Linked DNA regions of Saccharomyces cerevisiae S288C. The gene in region 1 interacts genetically with each later gene. Each region holds a gene or a part of one and is shown in the gene's direction. Other genes may lie near its edges.

Evidence for each region.
Region 2: mutations in YLR162W (region 1) and AUS1 together harm fitness more than expected from each alone (negative genetic interaction), as found in Saccharomyces cerevisiae (one large-scale study listed by BioGRID).
Region 3: mutations in YLR162W (region 1) and DSE4 together harm fitness more than expected from each alone (negative genetic interaction), as found in Saccharomyces cerevisiae (one large-scale study listed by BioGRID).

Annotation. Positions count from the first base shown.
Region 1 is NC_001144.5:487,620-490,484, forward strand, and holds YLR162W (uncharacterized protein), read left to right. Parts: upstream 1-1,953; coding exon 1,954-2,310; downstream 2,311-2,865. Other genes in the region: YLR161W (uncharacterized protein), read left to right, coding at 1,378-1,722; RRT15 (Rrt15p), read left to right, coding at 2,787-2,865. UniProt on the Saccharomyces cerevisiae protein: Overexpression confers resistance to the antimicrobial peptide MiAMP1.
Region 2 is NC_001147.6:347,797-354,425, forward strand, and holds AUS1 (ATP-binding cassette sterol transporter AUS1), read left to right. Parts: upstream 1-1,882; coding exon 1,883-6,067; downstream 6,068-6,629. UniProt on the Saccharomyces cerevisiae protein: Transporter involved in the uptake of sterol.
Region 3 is NC_001146.8:755,184-760,714, reverse strand, and holds DSE4 (endo-1,3(4)-beta-glucanase), read left to right. Parts: upstream 1-1,615; coding exon 1,616-4,969; downstream 4,970-5,531. Other genes in the region: YNR068C (uncharacterized protein), read left to right, coding at 1-648.

The DNA of each region.
Region 1 (2,865 bases):
CATTTTTTTAAAGATAAGAGACGGGGTTTACCCTTCGGAGGACTAAGCGAGATCTCCAAGTAAAGATCTCGCTTATCAAGAAAGCAGCCAAGTGTGGAACGTCCTTTTTTTTGGTTTCAAAAAGATATTCAACAGTTTACACTGCAGCTTTAATTGCCTCAAAAGGATATCATGAGGTGATCTAGGGTCAGAAGGGAAAGATTACAGCATCTTGAGTTGAATCACATCTGCAAAAGGTGGTATTATTGACGTTGCTCTTCCTTAATGGAAACTCATGGGGTTTGGAAAGGAGGTGCGGTAATCTATTTTTTTCGAACACAAAACCTAACCTTGAAAAGAAACTGTCCAATTTCATTGAACTTACCTCAGAACGGGCCGGAGTCTTTGCTTTCAGTCTAACATGGTCTAATTTCTTCGAAAAGCTTCATTTAATTGTTAGACTGTGGTTTTACAAGGAAAAAACCAGTGCTATACTGAAGCGATACCCAGAACTAATTACCTTGTGTGACGATTCGGCTCAGCGAAACGGACATGGTAAAATTGGGAATTTGAAAGCAGGCAGCAGCCTTGTACAGCGACATGACGATAGGTTTAGAATCCCCATCACGTACGAGTTGAAGAATTCTACGAAGGCTCTATGCGTTATTCCTCTATCGGTATAAAGTGTAGCGTTGTAGGGGGGATATTGGTGGTTTAGTTGAATTTGCGCAACGAAATTATAGAACTCATAAAAGTTCAATTCAATACTTGAAACCCTTAACGTTGGTTCGACCATCAATTGTTTGGACATAATAGTTTTATTCTGCGGCCGATTTCAAAATTTAGTAAATCAAATGTTGAAGCATCACCAGTAGGATGACCACTCCCATGACAAAACTCCGTCCCAAAGATAGCTTGATCATCCTAAGCGGGTCGCATTTTACTATCCCCAGTTCCGAAGAATAACAAGGCTCAATGCATATGCTGTTTATCGTGCTCACAAGGCGGTATGACGTTTTTAGCAATGTAATTATATTAAAAAGATCTTCAGTCACTATGAGTGGTTGATTGCCCCATAGAGAGCTATAAGCCGACGTGAAAGCTGCTGGTTCCAGCTTGGCTCATGTCGTCACCAGTCACTAGTCACTTGGTCGCATTCATTGCTACTCATCTGCGAGTGAGCATATTTGAGATCTGACTTGCCAAGGGATTAGAATCACGTAAGACTCTTGATCCTTAGAAGATATTTCTGACAAAGAACCACCTAAGCCATGCAAGTTTTTTTTTTCATTTGGTGGCGAAACAAAGGTGATGAAAGTTTCTTCTTGTACAAACGCCAAGCCCGATAGGTGAGACAATTCTTGAAGTAATGGACCTCTGAGTAAGCATATCAGTCGAATGAAGTTCCAATATGCGTTGGCCAAGGAACAGCTAGGCAGCAACTCGCGCAGTGGCGTCAAAAAACTAATAAGTAAACACCACTGGCTTCCGGAATACTATTTCTCTGATCTCTCATTTTCTGTTGTACAGCAGTGGGACAGTAGAGCCATTGAAAAAACTACAATCATATCTTGTATGCGGCCCGCAAACCAAGAGATTTATCCTTTGAGACATTGTGAGACCCTCCGTTCGCAACCGTGCTCTCTGTTTTCATCACTATATGCACGCTCTTTCCAAAGCTCCTGCACTTTGCACGTGGCGGAGCCATCGCCCGGCTTCCATATGTACGGCTGCCACACCTAACTATTTCGGTTGCGGCCATATCTACCAGAAAGCACCGTTTCCCGTCCGATCAACTGTAGTTAAGCTGGTAAGAGCCTGACCGAGTAGTGTAGTGGGTGACCATACGCGAAACTCAGGTGCTGCAATCTTTTTTTTTTTTCCGCGCGCAAGCACGTTACCCGGACCCCGTCTTAGCACACGCACACGCACACGCAGCGCTCACAGACCAGCGAAACAGACCTGAGAGCCACGATGCAGCACACGCTTACCCGGACCGCCTCTCTGCCAGAACGCTCGAGCAGCGCCCACAGCGCCGCTACTGCGTTACCCGCACTTCGCCGCCCGCCAGACAGCTGCGAGACTCTCGTCCCGCTACTGTGTATCTTTTGGTTCGTCTTCGTTAGTATGAGCCCGCTCCCGCCGGCTCGTGCCAACAAATCAGACAACAAAGGCTTAATCTCAGCAGATCGTAACAACAAGGCTACTCTACTGCTTACAATACCCCGTTGTACATCCAAGTCGTATACAAATGATTTATCCCCACTCAAAATGACATTGCTATCCGCCGGCAAGCACCCAAGGCCTTTCCGCCAAGAGCACCGTTGCTAGCCTGCTATGGTTCAGCGACGCCACAAGGACGCCTTATTCGTATCCATCTATATTGTGTGGAGCAAAGAAATCACCGCGTTCTAGCATGGATTCTGACTTAGAGGCGTTCAGCCATAATCCAGCGGATGGTAGCTTCGCGGCAATGCCTGATCAGACAGCCGCAAAAACCAATTATCCGAATGAACTGTTCCTCTCGTACTAAGTTCAATTACTATTGCGGTAACATTCATCAGTAGGGTAAAACTAACCTGTCTCACGACGGTCTAAACCCAGCTCACGTTCCCTATTAGTGGGTGAACAATCCAACGCTTACCGAATTCTGCTTCGGTATGATAGGAAGAGCCGACATCGAAGAATCAAAAAGCAATGTCGCTATGAACGCTTGACTGCCACAAGCCAGTTATCCCTGTGGTAACTTTTCTGGCACCTCTAGCCTCAAATTCCGAGGGACTAAAGGATCGATAGGCCACACTTTCATGGTTTGTATTCACACTGAAAATCAAAATCAAGGGGACTTTTACCCTTTTGTTCTACTGGAGATTTCTGTTCTCCATG
Region 2 (6,629 bases), on another chromosome or scaffold:
AGTCACAGCTCTTACGCACCTGTTTGGCCGCACATGAGAGTTAAACGCAAACTCCGCCGAGGCGTCGTTTTTCTAGCTGCTGCTTCACGTTTTATGGAGTCATATTCTGGTCTAAAAAAATTATACTAGGCAGGTAATGGATTGTTTTAAGTTTCTTGTTAACTCACATAGGATCTTTTTTGAGTACCTTGTGAAATGGTTAGATTTGATACCTTATTTTTTTCCAACATTACATTATTTTAGTATCGTTCAAGTTCTCCTTTACTTTTAGAGATTACGCCTACATTATGTATGCCGAACTTAGTAGGAACTATTTGTACGCAAAACATGAATTGTTTGTCGTGTCTGCATACATTAGTGTTGACAGTCAGAGAACTTGATTTTAAAAATAAAAGTTTCTTGTTTACAAAAAAGTATGGTCACCCGGTGTCTTTGCTATAATGGGAACAGAAAACCATTTGCAAGACTACTAAAATACGATTTTGTAATTTGACGTTACAAATATAGGGATAGTTGATAAATAGTTACGCGCAGTTAACTTTTCCTCACCAAAGGACAGTTATTTACCTACTGATTGAAAATGTTTTGGCACAGGATACCAGTTTTCAAATTTATTAATTAATTAAGGAGAAGTGAGAAATGATTAGAAAGCAATTAAGCGGTGAAGGTCTGCTTTTTATACTTACAAGAACGTATTATTAGCAGCCAACGCACTACAGTTGTTGACTAAGTTTTGTTTTAATTTGATTCGTAGTTGTTGGTCGAATTTTGTTTTGACTTGTTTTCAGTTTCTTTTTTTTTAATGCCTGACGTTGAAGAGCACGCAGGCCTATGAAAAAAAAAAATTATACGAGTTACTTGGAATTCGCTCCCATTGCACCAATTTCAGGAAGCGATCAAAAAGAAAGCAATGTTATTCAACATAACTTTATTCATACTGTAGTAACAATAACTTCATATCAATTAGGATTCACTGTTCATTGACTTATCACTACAATATGGAGGAAACGTTGCGTAATCGTTGTCGCTATAGATATTGTCCCTCCCTTCCTCTGTGATAGTTCTTCTTTATATAACTTTCACAAAAGCTTCTGCCCTCATAGTTGCCCTCAATAAACGAAAGGCCAGATGCATACAGGTGCAGTAGTACATCCAAAGAAACATAGGGGCAAAAACCGTGTTCTAATATTAGACTGCATATATCCCCTTGTCATTAGCTTAAATCATATAGAGTAATATGTACATACAGGTTATTTTATTTGTAGCTTTCCTCCTCTTTATGGAGCAAAGTAAGCCATACGAACGGTTTACAATAGAGAGCGTCGTTTGCTTACGTGATTGTCATGTGCCTTCGTAGGCAAAGGGGATTGCACACCTTTTTACTAAACAATAGAAAAGTGAGAATTCTCTTATAGGCACTGCTGCTCCTCGTTTCTTTTTACGCGCTGTCGTTCCAGGTCCTTTTTTCGATTAACTACGGTAGTTTCAAAGAGAGTGCCTGAAGATCACTCCATATACAGGCTAGATGAACTGTAAACGAGCTCATCAGCAGCGTCCCTTTCAGTGTCACTACAGCCACAGCAGCTTACCTCCTGTACGATGTGACAGAGCAAAACACAAATGTGTGTCCTTTCTACTCTTATTTTCCAACTCGAATATAAAGACGGTGCCTTTGCCTTATTTCTAAGGCACTGAACAGTTCTAAAAGTAAAGTTTTCCCTAGCCTTAGTACCGTTTCTGTGAAGCAGTTATTGAATAGTTATTGGACATAAAAATCCATATTGAAAAAAAAAAAAACATACTTGAGAAGGCATTAGCTGAATAGTAAAGACTGCTGTAATTCATCTCTCAGTCCTTGCAGTCTGCTTTTTCTGGAATTAATATGTCAATTTCAAAGTACTTCACTCCCGTTGCTGACGGGTCACTCACTTTCAATGGCGCGAACATTCAATTTGGCGCCGATGCTCAAGGCGAGTCAAAAAAGAGTTATGACGCTGAGGACAGCATGCCGAATCCGGCAAATCAACTAAATGACATAACCTTCCAAGCAGAGGCTGGTGAAATGGTTTTGGTTTTGGGTTATCCCACATCCACTCTATTTAAGACTTTGTTTCATGGTAAAACTAGTTTGTCATACTCTCCTCCAGGCTCGATTAAATTTAAAAATAATGAGTTTAAGAGCTTTTCCGAAAAATGTCCCCACCAAATCATTTACAATAATGAACAAGATGTGCATTTCCCATTTCTAACGGTAGAACAAACAATTGATTTTGCCTTGAGTTGTAAGTTCGATATTCCAAAAGGTGAGCGCGATCAAATAAGAAATGAACTTCTAAGAGAATTCGGCCTGTCTCATGTATTGAAAACTATTGTAGGAAATGATTTTTTCCGTGGTGTTTCTGGTGGTGAGCGTAAACGTATTTCTATTATTGAAACGTTTATTGCTAATGGTTCCGTTTATCTATGGGATAATTCTACTAAAGGTTTAGATTCCGCCACAGCTCTCGATTTTTTGGAAATTCTTAGAAAAATGGCAAAAGCTACTCGTTCTGTAAACTTAGTCAGAATTTCCCAGGCAAGTGATAAAATTGTTGATAAGTTTGACAAGATTCTTATGCTATCCGATTCCTACCAGCTTTTCTATGGTACGGTCGATGAGTGTTTGACTTATTTTCGTGACACTTTAGGTATTGAGAAAGATCCTAACGATTGTATTATTGAATATCTGACCTCTATCTTAAATTTTCAGTTCAAAAATAAAAATTTGGGGAATTTATCAAATTCATCATCTGCTAGCGTTCTCAAAACCGCAACAGGGGAAGTCACTAAGTATACTTATAATTCTGATTTCGATTTATATGATCAATGGAAACATTCTTCGTACTATAGAAATATAAAGCAGCAAATCCAGGGGTCTTCAATTGATGACTCCATTAAGGAAGTGGATCCCTCTGATGTCTCACCTATTTTTAATATTCCGTTGAAGAAACAATTATTATTTTGCACAAAAAGAGCTTTTCAACGAAGTTTGGGTGATAAAGCTTATATGACGGCACAATTTATTTCTGTCGTTATTCAATCTTTGGTCATTGGTTCACTGTTTTACGAAATTCCGTTGACTACCATTGGTTCATACTCAAGAGGTTCTTTAACCTTTTTCTCCATTCTTTTCTTCACTTTTCTTTCTCTTGCAGATATGCCTATTGCCTTCCAAAGACAACCCGTCGTTAAAAAGCAATCCCAACTTCACTTCTATACTAACTGGGTTGAAACCCTTTCAACAACAGTGTTCGACTACTGCTTTAAACTTTGTTTGGTAATTGTATTCAGTATCATCCTATACTTCCTTGCTCACCTGCAATACAAGGCTGCAAGATTTTTCATTTTCCTCCTGTTCCTTTCCTTTTACAATTTCTGTATGGTGTCCTTATTCGCTTTGACGACACTAGTTGCTCCAACCATTTCAGTTGCAAATTTATTTGCAGGTATTCTGCTACTAGCTATAGCAATGTATGCTTCTTACGTCATCTACCTGAAAAATATGCATCCTTGGTTTGTATGGATTGCTTATCTAAATCCTGCAATGTACGCTATGGAGGCAATACTGTCTAATGAGCTTTACAATTTGAAGCTGGATTGTAGTGAGACAATTGTTCCAAGAGGTCCTACTTACAACGATGTTCCATTTTCCCATAAGGCCTGTGCTTGGCAAGGTGCTACTCTGGGTAATGATTACGTTAGAGGCCGTGATTACTTGAAGCAAGGTTTATCCTACACGTATCATCATGTGTGGAGAAACTTTGGTATTATCATTGGTTTCCTAGTATTCTTTATTGCCTGTACTCTGTTTGCATCTCAATATATTAAGCCTTATTTCAATAAGGATGAAATAGAGCGCAACAATAGTCGTTTGACAAGATGGCTACCATTTTTGAATAAAAAGAGAGGTACCAGGTCCTCTGCAAGAAATGACAGTAAGTATGTTGGTATCCCAAAGTCGCACTCCGTTTCGTCTTCCTCGTCTAGCCTGTCGGCTGTTCCATATCAGATATCACCCTCAAATAAGGAAATGGCTCTAAACGATTATAACGAGCAACCTATCACGGAAACAGTAGAGACTCAAAAGCATATCATCTCTTGGAAAAATATCAACTACACAGTTGGTACAAAGAAACTGATTAATAATGCATCCGGTTTCATCAGTTCTGGTTTGACCGCCTTAATGGGTGAGTCCGGTGCAGGTAAAACTACTTTGCTGAATGTCTTATCACAAAGAGTTGAGACAGGTGTTGTTAGCGGCGAAATTTTGATCGATGGCCACCCATTGACAGATGAGGACGCGTTTAAGAGAAGTATTGGTTTTGTTCAACAACAGGATTTGCATCTAGATTTGCTGTCTGTGAAAGAATCTCTGGAAATATCATGTCTTTTGAGAGGTGATGGTGACAGGGCATACTTAGACACTGTTTCAAATTTACTGAAATTGCCATCTGACATTTTAGTCGCTGATTTAAACCCGACTCAAAGGAAGCTTTTATCTATCGGTGTTGAACTTGTTACTAAGCCTTCACTTTTATTATTCCTAGACGAACCAACCTCTGGGCTGGACGCTGAGGCTGCACTAACAATCGTCAAATTTTTAAAACAACTTTCTTTACAGGGTCAGGCTATTTTTTGTACCATTCATCAGCCTAGTAAAAGTGTCATCAGCCATTTTGACAATATTTTCTTATTGAAAAGGGGTGGTGAATGTGTCTTCTTTGGACCAATGGACGATGCCTGCGGCTATTTCATGTCTCATGACAACACGCTCGTTTACGATAAAGAACATGATAACCCTGCAGATTTCGTCATTGATGCAGTAGGTAACAGTAACTCCTCGGCAGGGAAAGATACAGCGGAGGAAGCTCTTACTTTGAACAAAGAAGCCATAGATTGGAGTGCATTATGGGAATCTTCTGTAGAAAAGAAACTAGTTAAAAAAGAAACAGCTAGGTTAGAAGATGATGCTCGTGCGTCTGGTGTTGATTACACAACCTCATTGTGGAAGCAGCCTTCCTACTTACAGCAATTAGCTCTTATTACAAGAAGACAATATATTTGTACGAAAAGAGACATGACTTATGTCATGGCCAAGTACTGTTTGAATGGTGGCGCTGGTTTGTTTATCGGTTTCTCATTTTGGCACATTAAGCATAATATTATCGGTTTGCAGGATAGTATCTTCTTCTGTTTCATGGCTCTTTGTGTTTCATCTCCATTGATCAATCAAATTCAGGACAAAGCCTTGAAAACAAAGGAAGTTTATGTTGCTAGGGAGGCGAGATCTAACACTTATCACTGGACTGTTCTTCTTTTGTCACAGTCAATTATTGAACTACCACTGGCACTTACAAGTTCCACACTATTTTTCGTCTGTGCCTTTTTCTCTTGTGGATTTAACAACGCTGGCTGGAGTGCCGGTGTTTTCTTTTTAAACTATATGCTTTTCGCTGCTTATTACTCGACTCTTGGTTTATGGCTGATCTATACTGCTCCTAATCTACAAACTGCTGCTGTTTTTGTTGCGTTTATTTACAGTTTTACAGCATCATTCTGTGGTGTTATGCAACCATACTCTTTGTTTCCAACTTTTTGGAAATTCATGTACAGGGTTTCGCCATACACATATTTTGTGGAAACTTTTGTTAGTATTCTATTGCATAACTGGGAAATCAAGTGTGACATGTCGGAGATGGTTCCTGGTCAACCTCTGACGGGGCAATCTTGTGGCCAATTTATGGAAGCTTTCATAGAAGAATACGGTGGCTATCTACATAATAAGAACACTTTCACAGTCTGCGCTTATTGTACGTACACTGTTGGCGATGACTTCCTGAAAAATGAGAATATGAGTTACGACCACGTTTGGAGGAACTTTGGTATTGAATGGGCTTTTGTTGGTTTCAATTTCTTTGCGATGTTTGCTGGTTACTACTTAACTTACGTGGCAAGAATATGGCCAAAGGTCTTTAAAATTATCACCAAAGTAATTCCACACAGAGGGAAGAAGCCTGTACAGAACTAATACCATTTTTAAATATATTTCTACTTTCTACTTAATAGCAATTTTAATTAATCTAATTATTTACAAGTCACCAATGACTGACTAAACAATTGAAAGAGTCCTTTGTACAACAAAAAAAAAGATACTTGTCGCTGACGCTCAAAAAATATTTATATAGCAAAAGTGCACGACAAAAAATGCTTCCAATCGGATTTGAACCGATGATCTCCACATTACTAGTGTGGCGCCTTACCAACTTGGCCATAGAAGCAGTAAACCGTTATTTTGTTGTTTCTCAGAGTGGTACACGTCAGTATGACAATACATCATCCTAAAACGTTCATATGAAACAACCTTATAACAAAACGAACAGAATGAGCAACATGACATATAACTTCGCCTCCCTTAGCTTAACCACCCAAACGTATAGACGCCTGAGCAATTAATTTAGATCCGAGGTTCGGCGCTTCCACCAATTAATATGATCCATATTTTATATAATATATAGGATAAGTAACATCCCATGAAAAGCTGATAATCCGTTCTGACAACTGGTTACTTCCATTGACTGTTTATATTGGGA
Region 3 (5,531 bases), on another chromosome or scaffold:
TTAACAACGAACACAAAAGATTGCAAACCAGTGAGGTTCCACAGTGATTTACTTTTAAAGAAGCACAAATACAATGAAATTAAGAAAATATTTAAGGAAATTTTGGAAAACATTGAAGCATATCGCGATGAGTTCACTAAAAATCAAACAAAAATAAACTTACTTCTTGCCGATGACGCAAGAGCTAGCCTGCGTAATAGATCGCTCGATTTTTCTGATTTAATGCCTTCGAGTATAATTAAGGACGTACAGGTTTTAGCCAATATGGAAGCCAATGTTGTTGTCATGAAAAATGCGTTGAAAACGAAGTTGGTTGGAGAGAAAAGTGTGCCTGTTGCTTCTTCTCCTATATCCAGCATAATTCCTCGAACTTCTAGGAATAAAAAAACCTCCCCATCAAACTATCACCATTCGGTACTTTCACATCGGAAATCAAATGAATGGAATCAGGTCAGTTCAACTGAGTATAAGAGAACACTGTTATTGAATATAAAATATAATGATGATTTTAAAGCTACCATAGTGCCAAGTTTTGAAAGTTGTTTATGCTCGAGGTCATATTTCCTCCGCGTAAAACTTCATTTTGATAAAGGTGTTGGATCTGCTGAAATTGATATCCCAGTTCAAGTTAAAAACTCTTTTATTTGATAGATGGCTGTTAAAAAGAATGGTTTCACTGACGAAGTTTTTATCGCTATTGATATTACAGTATCATTACTGATAAACACCTTAGTTCTTGCAGAACTGAAAGTGATAAAGCAAGGAAACAGTGCGCAGTAGCAATCTCTTTTACGATTGTTCTGCGTTTGCCAAGGTATTCTCAAAATACTTTAAGTACTAAAAACCTAAATAATCTCTATACATAGAACTTTGAATTTTCATTGTTTAAAAAAATGTACGGAACTGCTAAGAAAATGTACAAGGTAGTGAAAGCCCACAGAGAGGTACATTTCAAGTGATAAACTTTGCTTTTTAGATTTGAAAATGTGAAATCTTACCACTCTTTAAAGCGACCATACTAGTAATAACGCAGGAATAGTACCACTAAATGGGTTGCCATCAATTTTATGCGCTGTAAGCTGCGCATATGTTTCCTACTTAAGGTTATAAGCATAGAACTGGCCTTTCCTTCAGCAAAAGAATAGAATAAGCCTGCTTGCCAAGAGAACTTGCTCGATAGCGGAGTGCTAGCTATTTTATGACCAATTTGGTATTTGCTGGCATATTTTTGAAAGATCTGGCTTTCTTTTCTTTTTTTCTCCCCTTTTTACCTGAACCTTGTTACCGAGTTCAGCTGCGCTAAGCTCTTTTCGGCTATATTTTGTTATGAAAGCCAGCAGAAAAGGCACGAAATCTCCCAATTTGGTTACCAAGGAAAAACTAGTTAATCATAAAGCTGAACCCAAAAAGTTAAAAATAAGAGCTGGGTATGAAAAGAGTAGCAAAGCATATACACCATACGAAGACTACAAGCGAGGGTAAAGGACTACATATAAATACTTGGTGCAATTTGTTTCAAAAATGAATATCAAGTATGTTTCTTGTGCTTGTTTCAACAAGTAGATAACCATAGTAACGGTCTGCATACAGAAAAGAAAACAAAAAAACAGCTAGTATGCAATTATATCTGACACTTCTTTTTCTATTAAGTTTCGTCGAATGTTCATATATAAGTTTCATATCGAATAATGCAGACGAAATATTGGAAACTGATTTAATTGAAACTTTATCTTACGCTACTTTGACAGTAGGTGAGCCTTATGTTGCACAATCGGTGGTTGTAACAAGAGTATCTGCAGCTTCTCATAGCCCTCTCTCAGTTTCGCCAAAAAATAGAGTGAGCGCATCTCCAATTAATTCACAAGACAGTGATTCTAATACAAGAACAGCAGTTCAACTGTCATTGTCGTTATCAAACTACGCAAGCCAAGTATCTCAAAAAATAAGCGCACAAACCAATAATGATCCTGTCACTGTTTCAAATATTTACGCAAATGATAATTCGAAAAGCAAAAGTTCAGTACACAATTTGAGTTCGGTTTCCGGCGTCGCCTCAGTCATGCCAAGTGCATCAACAATGCGTAAAGTCACCACATTATTATCTCAAACTGCTTCGACTTCGACTTCGACTTTATTTTCTTCATCTTTATCTATTTCGGGGACACAATTAAATGGAACTTTATTGACTTCTGTTTCAAAAGGTACAATCGATCCACTGGTAACTCAAATGCCTTCCTATTCTTCCCAAGAAACAAAAATTATTCCTTCTTCATTGACCTCGAATAAAACGATATATACTATTTCAGTAAGGACAAATGCAGCTACAGCTACCGGCGAAGATTCCTTCATTGCTTCAACTCCTGCTTCCTCGACTTTGTTCTATCCATCCAACTCAACCCAGGATTTAGTCCAGACGCTCGCATCTACAACAGCAAGCCCTGCTTACCCATCTAATAGGACACAAATCACTCTTTCTCCATCTGTATCACTATATTCGACAACTAGTCCAATTTACCCTTCAAACATTACAGAAAACGGTTCTTCACCATCACCATCACTATCATCGACTGTTAGTCCAGTTTATCCATCGAGTTCAACAGGAAACATTCTTTTGTCATCACTATTTTCAACAGTAGATTCTTCTTCCTCTCCGGTTTCTTCGACATTAGATACCATTTATGTATCTTCTTCAATGCAAGCTACCATCTCTTCGTCCTCATCTTCGAGACAAACAAAAACTTCCTCCTCTTCTCTGTCAACCTCGACCAGTAGCACCGCTACCACAACGGAGAACTCTTCAACAACGACCATTGTCAATCTTTTCAATGCTGTTTCGACAGATGAACCACCAACTGTTTTTGACAGATCACCAAATCCTATGTCATTGGCTGATGGGGTGTCAAACGATGGTCCCATTCAAACAAACAAGTTTTATACAAATTTGATTGTTGGTAGTCAGGAATCACCTGCCTTTGTGTATCCTTATTCATTGTGGAAGTACACCTCGAGTTCATATGGTTTTGCTGTTCAACATACAACAGTAGATCAATATAGCTACGGTGGTTATGACAGTTCCGGTAATGCAGAATATTTGGTCAATCCTTTGGGAATTGCTCATGTTGTTTTCTCAGCTTCGAATTTTGATTCAAGTATGACTATGCAAGTTGATGAAATGACCTTGTCTTCAACAAGGGTAGTGCTATCAGAATCCAATGATTCTTCGAACTACCTGGAAATACCTTTGGTTCAAGGTATGGGATTTGCAACTGGTATATATCATGGATCTTTAAATGCCAAGATTGGTTCCAGCGTCGGATTCAATACCATTGTTTCTGAATCATCAAGCAATTTAGCTCAGGGTATTCTCAAATATCGTATCACCCTTTTGAATGGAGTCACTTGGTTATGTTACGTGATAGGACCAGACGATTTAACCTCAACGGACTTTTCATTGGAGGTGAGCTCAGAATATGAAATTAAAGCAAGCGCTAGTGTTGATGGTCTTATCATTCAATTGGCCGTCGCACCTTCTGAAACTGATTACGAGGTCTTTTATGATCAAGCCGCAGGTATGTACGTTACTAATTTCAAGCTGCAGGGTGTCTCTGACGGTTCTACAGCTACCTATGAATTTTCTTATACCACCCAAGGTGAGTCGGCATCAGGTAGCACAATGATTTTTGCCTTGCCCCATCATGAATCTTCATTTAGTGATATAATGCAAGACTACTATACCGGCATTCAACTCGCTTCTACAACTAAGGGTGTAATGAACGGTTATCTAACAACGAGCCTACAATTTTCCACATCTCTAAACAGACAAATATCTTGGTTACCATGGTCTTCTCAACTTGGCTCAAACCTTTTAGAGTATTCTAAAGAACAATTGCAATTATTAGCTGAAGTTGCCAATTCCGAATTACAGGTTAGTATTTCCGAAAGTATAAGCGGGTTAAACACATATTATTTGGGTAAAGTTATCGATAAGTATTCTTACATTCTATTAACGGTCTCCGAAATCATCCAAGATGAAGCCAGTACTAAGAGTACTTTGGAAAACATCAAATCGGCCTTTGATATTCTGCTACAAAATGAACAGACGTATCCACTAATTTACGACACAAAGTTCAACGGTTTGGTCAGTTCAGGAGATTGGGGTTCCACCAGCACGCAATACGATTTTGGTAACACTTATTACAATGACCATCATTTCCATTATGGTTACATTATTCATGCAGCTGCTGTCATCGGCTATGTTGACTCTAAACTGAATGGTACTTGGGCTGCCGACAATAAAGATTGGGTCAATTCATTGGTAAGAGATGTCGCAAATCCATCTGAAAAAGATGAATACTTTGCACAATCGAGAATGTTTGATTGGTTCAACGGTCATTCATGGGCAGCTGGACTTTATGAAAACGGTAACGGTAAGAACGAAGAAAGTAGTAGTGAAGATTACAATTTTGCCTATGCTATGAAGTTATGGGGGGCCACTATCGGTGACCAGTCAATGGAATTGAGGGGTGACTTGATGATTAGTATAATGAAGGATGCAATGAACGACTATTTCTATTATCAAAATGACAACACAGTTGAGCCTGAAGAAATCATAGGAAATAAAGTGAGTGGTATTTTATTCGATAATATTATCGATTATACTACTTATTTTGGAACAAACACAGAATATATCCACGGTATTCATATGCTACCTATCACACCAGTTTCTTCTAATATTCGTTCTGAGACTTTCGTCGAAGAAGAATGGCAGACTAAAATCGAGCCAATTATTGAATCGATAGAAAGCGGCTGGACAGGCATATTGAAGCTGAATCAAGCACTCTTCGACCCAGTAGATTCGTATGCATTTTTCAGTGATTCAACTTTTGATTCATCCACATATTTGGATAACGGAATGAGTCGCACATGGGCATTAGCATTTTCAGGGGGACTGGCCAACTCAATTGCTTAGAAAGAGAACTTGGCAAGCAGGTCTGTCGAGTCTTTCCCACTACATACATATTTTATAGAATAAATCATTTTTACTTAACTTGAAAGTTGTTGCGTTCGAAAAGACCACGGCTAACGGAGACCACTTAGGTAAATGCATGCCAGTAAGAGGTATATTAGTACTTTAATGAATGAACTTAGCAAGGTAATGCCTGCACTAAAATAAAATTCTAACGTCATCCTAAGAAGCATCAATTGGACATAGTGAGGAAAAGTTTTCACCATTTAAAATTTGTTTTGCAGAATACCATTCTAGACTATGATCCCTTAGAGATTCTCATTCTTTAAATATCAGCTTCAACAGCATATCTTTATAGTATTATCGTACTACTGGCGACATTAGCAAATCAAAGTATTTTTGCTCAGTTTCTAGTTTTATCTGTTTGATTCCCCATTAGATGGTAAACACGTTGTCTTGATGACTGAAAAGGAAGTGAACATGGTCAACTCAAAATAACCAGACTCAAAATAATTGCAATTACCTAGGCTAGATATTTTTAGAATATTATGAGAATATTTTTAGA